Linked DNA regions of Nothobranchius furzeri. The protein of the gene in region 1 binds, or shares a complex with, the protein of each later gene. Links are inferred from orthologs where the notes say so. Each region holds a gene or a part of one and is shown in the gene's direction. Other genes may lie near its edges.

The links. The genes of interacting proteins can lie anywhere in the genome.
Region 2: tonsl (region 1) and mms22l share a complex: the UniProt entries of both Homo sapiens proteins name them as parts of the MMS22L-TONSL complex. The link is inferred for Nothobranchius furzeri from reciprocal best matches to the Homo sapiens genes TONSL and MMS22L.

The regions. Positions count from the first base shown.
Region 1 is NC_091758.1:29,050,924-29,055,107, reverse strand, and holds the start of tonsl (tonsoku-like protein), read left to right. Parts: upstream 1-1,237; 5' UTR 1,238-1,674; coding exon 1,675-1,699; intron 1,700-1,777; coding exon 1,778-1,873; intron 1,874-2,085; coding exon 2,086-2,228; intron 2,229-2,312; coding exon 2,313-2,496; intron 2,497-2,577; coding exon 2,578-2,707; intron 2,708-2,804; coding exon 2,805-2,976; intron 2,977-3,044; coding exon 3,045-3,159; intron 3,160-3,241; coding exon 3,242-3,393; intron 3,394-3,478; coding exon 3,479-3,631; intron 3,632-3,833; coding exon 3,834-3,959; intron 3,960-4,054; coding exon 4,055-4,184. UniProt on the Homo sapiens protein: Component of the MMS22L-TONSL complex, a complex that promotes homologous recombination-mediated repair of double-strand breaks (DSBs) at stalled or collapsed replication forks.
Region 2 is NC_091745.1:51,994,586-51,998,236, reverse strand, and holds part of mms22l (protein MMS22-like), read left to right. Parts: intron 1-2,796; coding exon 2,797-2,884; intron 2,885-2,985; coding exon 2,986-3,163; intron 3,164-3,373; coding exon 3,374-3,467; intron 3,468-3,580; coding exon 3,581-3,651. UniProt on the Homo sapiens protein: Component of the MMS22L-TONSL complex, a complex that promotes homologous recombination-mediated repair of double-strand breaks (DSBs) at stalled or collapsed replication forks.

The DNA.
Region 1 (4,184 bases):
ACGCTGTTGCATAGTCAACATCATAACAAGAATAGGTCCCCACCTGTCGCCGTGGTAGAAGTCAGTTGTCCAGTAATCGGAAGGTTGCAGGTTCGATCCCGGCTCCGGACAGGGAATTCTGCTGTTGTGTCCTTGGGCAAGACACTTAACCCATCTTGCCTGCTGGTGGTGTTCAGAGGGACCGGTGGCGCCTGTGCTCGGCAGCCTCGCCTCTATCAGTGTGCCCCAAGGCAGCTGTGGCTACATCGTAGCTCATCACCATCAGTGTGTGAATGTGTGTGTGAATGGATGAATGATACATTGTGGTGTAAAGCGCTTTGGAGTCCTTACTCTGAAAGGCGCTACACAAGCGCGGGTCATTTATTTACCACAAAAATTGGGTCCTTTGGTGATTCACTTGCAACTTTATAAATCCAGTTTCCTCTTCTCATTTTTAATATTAATTTTCTCAGGAGGACGAAAATATAGTTTTTTAAAGCTTCATTATAATAAGTAGACTAAAATATTGAGTTCTAAACGAATGAAAATATAAAACGTGCAATTTCAGACGCGGGGGAGCAACTCCCCATCATAACTTCCAGAGAATTGTTCTAGCATTGGCCAGGAGAGGGCGCGAAATCCCCGTTCTTTCTAGGCAACAACACATGCTGAATGGCGGTAGCCTGGCCTGCCAGACTCCTCTGTACAGAGAAAGGGTCTGGGAACTCTCCTATTCAAATAACCCCACCCCGTGAGAATTCCAACCGAGCCAATCAGCATCCAGGCTAGAATAGTGGCCCTTGAGGAACCCGGGTGCAACACAACCGTGGGTTTTGAAAGCTGGAATGGTCATTTTTATTGTGTTTTTAGCTACTAAAATGAAATCACTTTTATAATGAGTTTCCCTGTTGCCAACACCAAAATTAAAAATTTAAAGAATTTAGAAAAAGTATTTCTAACTTTTGCAAATTTATAAATCCAGTTTCCTCGTCTCTTTCTACGATTCATCATTCTCCTGCTTAATATTCATATTCCCAAGAGGATGAAAAGAAATACAGTTTTTAAAAGCTTAATTAAAACAAGGAGGTGAAAATATTCTGTTCTAAATAGATGAAAAGGTCAAAATTGCAGTATCTAATTTCAGACACTGGAGGTCAGTCACTCCCCAACCGCCCTTCATCACCACAGACACTGCCACTGAGCAACACCCATTCTTATTTTGCTTTGTAGCCCTACGTAATAACTGTCAGGCGGTTAAAAGCCTAATTGCAGGGAGAAAAAATCAATTATATTTTTACAATTGTTAAATAATATCAGACTATTGAGTTGAAGGGGCGTACTTTGATTGTTGACCGGCGTTCTCATAGTTTGAACCTGGAGTTTATGCCTGACAGACATTACAGCGGGCAGATAAATATTATCGCTTCATTGAGTGACGTTTTCCTGGCGGGGCAATGCGAAACCAGAAACTTGTAAACGCGAAGCTAAACATGAGTGTTTACGCAGATGATTGATACATGTGAATGTTTTCTTATTGCATACAGTCAGAATCTGAGGCTAATTCTAAACGTAGGCAAACGTATGACGTTGCTAAACAGTTATGAGGCAAATGTCCTGTTAACCGCCAACAGGCAGAGCTAAGCTAACGTTTAGCGCGCTGTTTGTCATTCACTACCAGCTGTCAGTTAAACCAATATGAGCTCTTCACGAGAAATCAAACGTAAGTGTTGCTCTATTTACAGCTGATCTGTTGGTTCCAAAAGGCTAAGATGGTTGTTTTGACTGCTCTTCTCTGCAGAGCTGCTGAAGGCAAAAAGCAAAGCCCAGACCAGCAATCACTTAAAGGAGGAAGCCAACATCTGCAACCAGCTAGGAGAGCTGTTGTCCAGGACTGGTATGAACCTCCACAGTTTTATATTTTTTATTATTATCACAAATGTGCTACCATCGCTTTACATCTTTATGTGACACTCTCTCCCACACACTTTCTGTTGCATATTCTCTGCGCCTTTGCAGCCTTAGATTTTATTATTTATCAATTAAATTTGCTCCCTATTTGTGCTGATGCATATAAAGGTTGTTGTGTTTGATCTGTGCATACCTCAGGTGACTACAAGGCAGCCATCAGGGAACATCAACAGGAGCTAGCTCTCTCTGAGGCTCTAAAAGATGTGATCGGACGCGCTGTGGCCCATCGGAAGATAGGAGAGTGCTATGCAGAGATGGGAAACATCGAGGCTGCTTTGAAAGTAAGCAGACTTGAATGCAAAAATGTTTTTTTAATGCATACCTAAAAGGAGTGTCTTGCTTTTTTTTTTTTTTTTGGTTTCCAGCATCAGCATCATCACCTGGACCTGGCTCGCTCTGTCAGAGATCATGCTGAAGAGCAAAGAGCTCTGGCTACCATTGGTCGTACCTACCTGTTCTGTTATGAATCTGACCAATCGAAGAACAGTTTAAAGCTGGCAGAAGATGCTTTCAGGAAGAGCTTGGCCATTGTGGATGAGCGTCTAGGTGGTGTGTATCGATTGTTTGGGTAACTTGGAATAATCGCGCTCTGGTTAGGTGGTTACGTATGAAGGTTCTTTCAACGTTTAGGGATGGTGTCCGAGCGAGAGATCAGTGAGATGAAGGCTCGGCTTTTCCTCAACCTTGGTCTGGTGTGCGATCATCTAGGGGAGCCCAAACGCTGCAGCGAGTTCATCCGACGTAGCGTCTTCATTGCAGAGTAAGAAGAACATCTCAAAACGATCTCCTAATCGTGGTCATAATACGCTTTAATTCATTTGCCCTGCACAAAGTCTTATGATTTCGTCTTGGAACAGGAGGAGCCAGCTGCTAGAGGATCTCTACCGGGCCAACTTTAACTTGGGCAACATCTACTTCCGCAACGGCCAACACTCCAACTCTGTCCGCTGTTTGGAGCAGGCCAAAGAGTGTTCCCGGAAGATGAAAGACAAGTTTGCTGAGAGTGAATGCTTTCACTGCATTGGCAAGGTAGGAGTACCCTTCTACTGTTCGTCACTGCATTTTCACAGGCTCTGATGACTCAGACTCACATCCAGGTGCAGCTGTCTCTGGGGGATTTTGTAGCTGCCAGACGATCTCTAAAGAAGGCTCTACTGTTGGGTTCTCAACAACCAGCAGACAAGCAGGCAGTGAAGAAAGCTTTTAAATATGGTGAGAGGGTTTTTGTTTGTTGGTTTTTGATCGTATTTCCTCACAGATGCATTAACAACATGACGTGTGTGTAATACCGTAGCTGATCGAGGCTGTAGGTTAGAGGAAGAGCTGGGGGAAGATCAGGAGAAGAGTTTCTGCTCCCATCGGGCTGTGGAGCTGTCGGAGCAGCTAGGGGATCTTTACTGTAAGGTTGGCTGCTACAGCAAAGCTCTGGAGGCTTACCAGGCTCAGGTGAGACACCTAAGAGAAAACAAAATGCTCCATTTTAACTTTAGCTCTTGAAATTAGCTGGATTGTAATTTCTCCTGTGAATTAGCTGAAAGGTGCTGAGATGATGGCGAAACCGGCGCGGGAGCTGGCTGTGATCCACGTGTCCCTGGCTGCTACCTGCACAGACCTGAGACAACACGACAAGGCCGTGGAGCACTACAGGAAGGAGCTGGCTTTACGACAGGGCAGCTCTACAGAGGTGCACCTTCACCCCATAACACCAAGATAGATAACTTATTACTGTGGAAGAAACGACAGATTTCCTCTGTTGGACTGAATTAACTAACATATTTGCAGGCATGGTTGTTAAAAATCTACTCTTATTAAATCACAGAGCTTGTTTTAACCAACAGCTAATGCATGCGCATAACTACTGGTGTGTGTGTGTGTGTGTGCGTCAGGAGTGTAGCACATGGCTGAACATCGCAGCAGCTCAGGAGGAGAGTGGCTGCATATCTGAGGACATAGAAGGCAGCTACAGATCAGCTTCACGCTGTGCAGAGGCGTCCGGGGAGGTCCGACTGCAGGTGAGGAAATGTGACATAAAGTATTTAAATAGAAGCAGCATTTTTATCACAGCTTTACTACAGGTCTATGTAAAAGTTCATCTTACGTCCCACAGAAACGCACGCTGAGACTCTGGCTGGCCTTCCAAAGACGGAGCGGCTCATCGGAAGCAGATGACACGGCGGCGAAGCTGCAAGAGCTTTGTGCCTCAAAGGGCTGTGATCCAGAGGAGAGTGATGGGGAGG
Region 2 (3,651 bases), on another chromosome or scaffold:
ATTCCTTAACTTCTCAGTTTAACAAGCACTGCCTCTCCATTCTGGACAATATCTGTCCTGTCAGAACCAGATCAGTTCCTGCAGTGAACCCTACTCCCTGGTTTAATGACAGCCTTCACAGCCTAAAGCGCCAATGCAGAAAAATTGAGCGCTTGGGGAAGAAAACCCATCTCCACGTCCATCTGCTGCACCTAAAGGATCTTCTGACATCCTTTAACTCTGCATTCAGAGATGCCAGGGTTTCCTATTTCTCCAACCTGGTGTCCCAGAGCAAAGGGAACCCCAAGGTGCTGTTTAACACCATCAGCAGCATCGTCTCTCTCTCCTGCCTCTCCTACAACCTCCATCCACTCTGTTGCAGACGGTGAGAACTTTCTGTCTTTCTTTGTGGACAAAGTCAATAAGGTTAGATCTAGCATCTCTCCTTCAGCCTTATCGCTGCCTCTCCCGACTCAACCAGGCCCATCATCCTAGATAGCTTTGCTCCTGTTTCTTTGCCTGAGTTAACCAAACTAGTTAACTCTATGAAGACCTCTGCATGCCCCCTCGACATCTTACCCTCATCTTTGTTTAAAAGTGCTTTTCAGTCCATCTGTCCCAGCGAGCTTTCTATAATTAATGCTTCTCTGGTTTCTGGTCAGGTCCCTGCTTACTTTAATAATGCTGTAATCCACCCGCTTCTTAAAAAACCGAGTCTCGACCCCTCTCTCCATTGCAGCTTCAGACCCATCTCTAAACTTCTGTTCATCTCCAAGATCTTGGAAAAGGTTGTGGCTAAACGACTCACAGCTGCTCTTGATGAACATAACATCTATGATTGCTTACAGTCAGGTTTTCGTAGAGCTCATTCTACTGAAACAGCTCTTCTTAGGGTCTCTAATGACCTTCTGACTCACAGTGATGCAGGGGACTGTTCTGTTCTGGTCCTGCTGGACCTGACTGCAGCCTTTGACACTGTTGACCATCACCTGCTATTGGAGAGGCTGAGAGACTGGGTAGGCCTATCAGGAACTGCTCTGGAGTGGTTCTCCTCTTATCTTTCTGAGCGCTCCTTTTCTGTGGCCATCTCCAAGTTTAGGTCCTCCACCACCTCTCTTACCCATGGTGTCCCACAAGGTTCTGTGCTGGGGCCTCTGCTCTTCCTCCTCTATCTGCTTCCTCTTCAGCACATCCTGAGCTCCTTCAAAGGAATCTCCTACCATCTTTATGCAGATGACATCCAACTGTACATCTCCTTTAAGCCCCATGAGATGTCTAAGCTGCAGCTGTTACACACCTGCTTAGACTCTATCAAAACCTGGATGGCTGGGAGCTTTCTTCAGCTGGATGAAGATAAGACTGAGATCCTCATCTGTGCCCCAGACAAGCTGGTTCCCAAAGTCAGAGACTCTTGGTCAGCTTGCTTCCCACACCAAACCTTCCGTCAGGAATCTTGACGTGACCTTTGACCCAGCTCTCACCCTGGATTCTCATGTCAGTTCTCTTGTTCGCTCTTCCTTCTTCCATCTCAGGAACATCGCTAAGCTGAGTCCCATTCTGTCCTGCTTTGAACTTGAGACAGTTATCCACACCTTCATCTCCTCACGCTTAGACTACTGTAACTCTCTTTTCACGTGTCTGAGCAGAGCCTCCCTGAACCGTCTACAGGTGGTTCAGAATGCCTGTGCTCAGCTTCTGACCAAGTCCTCCAAACACACCCACATCACCCCGCTTCTCCTCCAGCTTCACTGGCTGCCAGTCAACTTCAGGGTTCATTTCAAGATCCTGGTTCTGGTCTATAGGGCCTTACATGGACAAGCACCATCTTACATTGGTGATCTTCTTAGTCCCTACACCCCCAGCAGGTCCCTGAGGTCCAGTGATCAAAGCCTACTGGTTGTGCAGCACCAGGCTAAAGACCAAAGGTGACAGATCATTTGCTGCTGTGGCCCCCAGACTCTGGAACTCTCTCCCCCTGAGCCTGAGATCAGTGGACTCAGTGGTCTCCTTTAAAAAGCAGCTGAAGACTCACTTGTTCAAGCTGGCTTTTGTATGACCTTCTTCACCACTCTCTCTTTATTCTGCTCTCCCCACCTATTCCACCTTCCTCAGGATCCACTGATTTCCCTCTTTTCTACTCTCTCTTTCTTTACATTTTGTTTTTTAATCACAGTTGTCTATTTTTTGCTCATTTGAAATATATTTTTAACCATTTTCTAAATTATTTTTTATATTTTTACATTTTTTATTTTTATGAAGCACCTCAGGATTTTTATCTTGAGAGGTGCTATAGAAATGATATTTTCTTCCTCTAAAACATCTGGTTACAAAATGTTTTTTTCTGACTTGGCTAACTCTGGGGAATCTAACAACACACACAAGTTTAGGGACAGAAGATCCCTTAAGAATATTAAAATAATAAAAATGCAGCAATAAATAAAACGTAATACTTGTGCTTTGTAACAAAGTAACACTCTGAGGAAGTTAACTTGGTTATTCACCCTGGACCGGAAATAATTGCACATAAGAAACGTAAATAAGAATAAATAAATAAAAAGTTCCAAAACAATAATTCGTGTTCATAGTTCAAAGGAGTGGAGCCACACAACATGAGTTCATAAAGCTGGCGCCATCTGCTGGATAGGTAGCGCAATATCGGCCGTCTTTTTGGCCGATAGCCGATACTGTTAATGCCCCCAATATCGGCCGATATATCGGTCGGGCTCTAGTTTGTTTATTTGGTGCTCAATATTTATCGTGAATTGACTAAAATATTTCATTTGTAAGGATTTAATATAAAGTGTTTTTGTTGCCCAGGGCAAGCAGGCAGTCTTCACTATGAGGCTGAGGACCTTCGACAACAGTGTGTTTGGTTTCTGCAGTACATCAAAGTCTTCTTGCACAGGTATCCACAAATGTAATGTTCACAACATCAACAACAAAATTTCAGTGTGTTTGCAGATGTTTCTGTATTTCTGTATTTATTTGGATGTCTGGTCTGTGTAGATTTCTGGAACCTTCAGTGTCTCTGGATGCAGCTCACCCACACCCTTATGAGGAGCTGGAGAGTCAGTTCCCCTCTGCTCTTCTGGAGGAACTGTTTAGCATCACCCTCCTCACAGGACGACTCAAGGACCTGCCTGCCAGTGTTCAAAGCTCCTTCTGCATACAGAACCATGGGAGGGTACAGCCGAATGTTGTTTTTCCTGCATGAAACAGACTCCAGCTCAGACGGTGTATAGAGGGCGTGTTGCATAGGAACCAGCTTGCTTTAAAGTGGGAAGAGCGGGGGGTGTAGCAGAGCTCGGAGAACCGTATCAAATGAGAGGAAAGCCGAAGCCTCTGTAGATTTTTCTGTCATTGAACTCTAACTTCTCGCTCGTTCCTCCCACAGATTCTTCCACCCTCTTGGCATTTGTTGCACCTTCATCTTGACGTACACTGGTCGGTTCTGGAGATCTTGCACACACTTGGTCAGAAGATGCGAGGTTCGTGGACAGATCCCTCAGACAGAAAATAAGAACTAGCCGTGTTGACTCGCACCATATGGTATATTGTGTGTGTGTGTTTTATATTGAGTCATTATTGCAACTACCTCCAGGACAGGTGGTTTACGCCCACCAGTTTGTTAACCTGACCGGGGAGAACCTGACGGATACCAGCCTGTTTGAG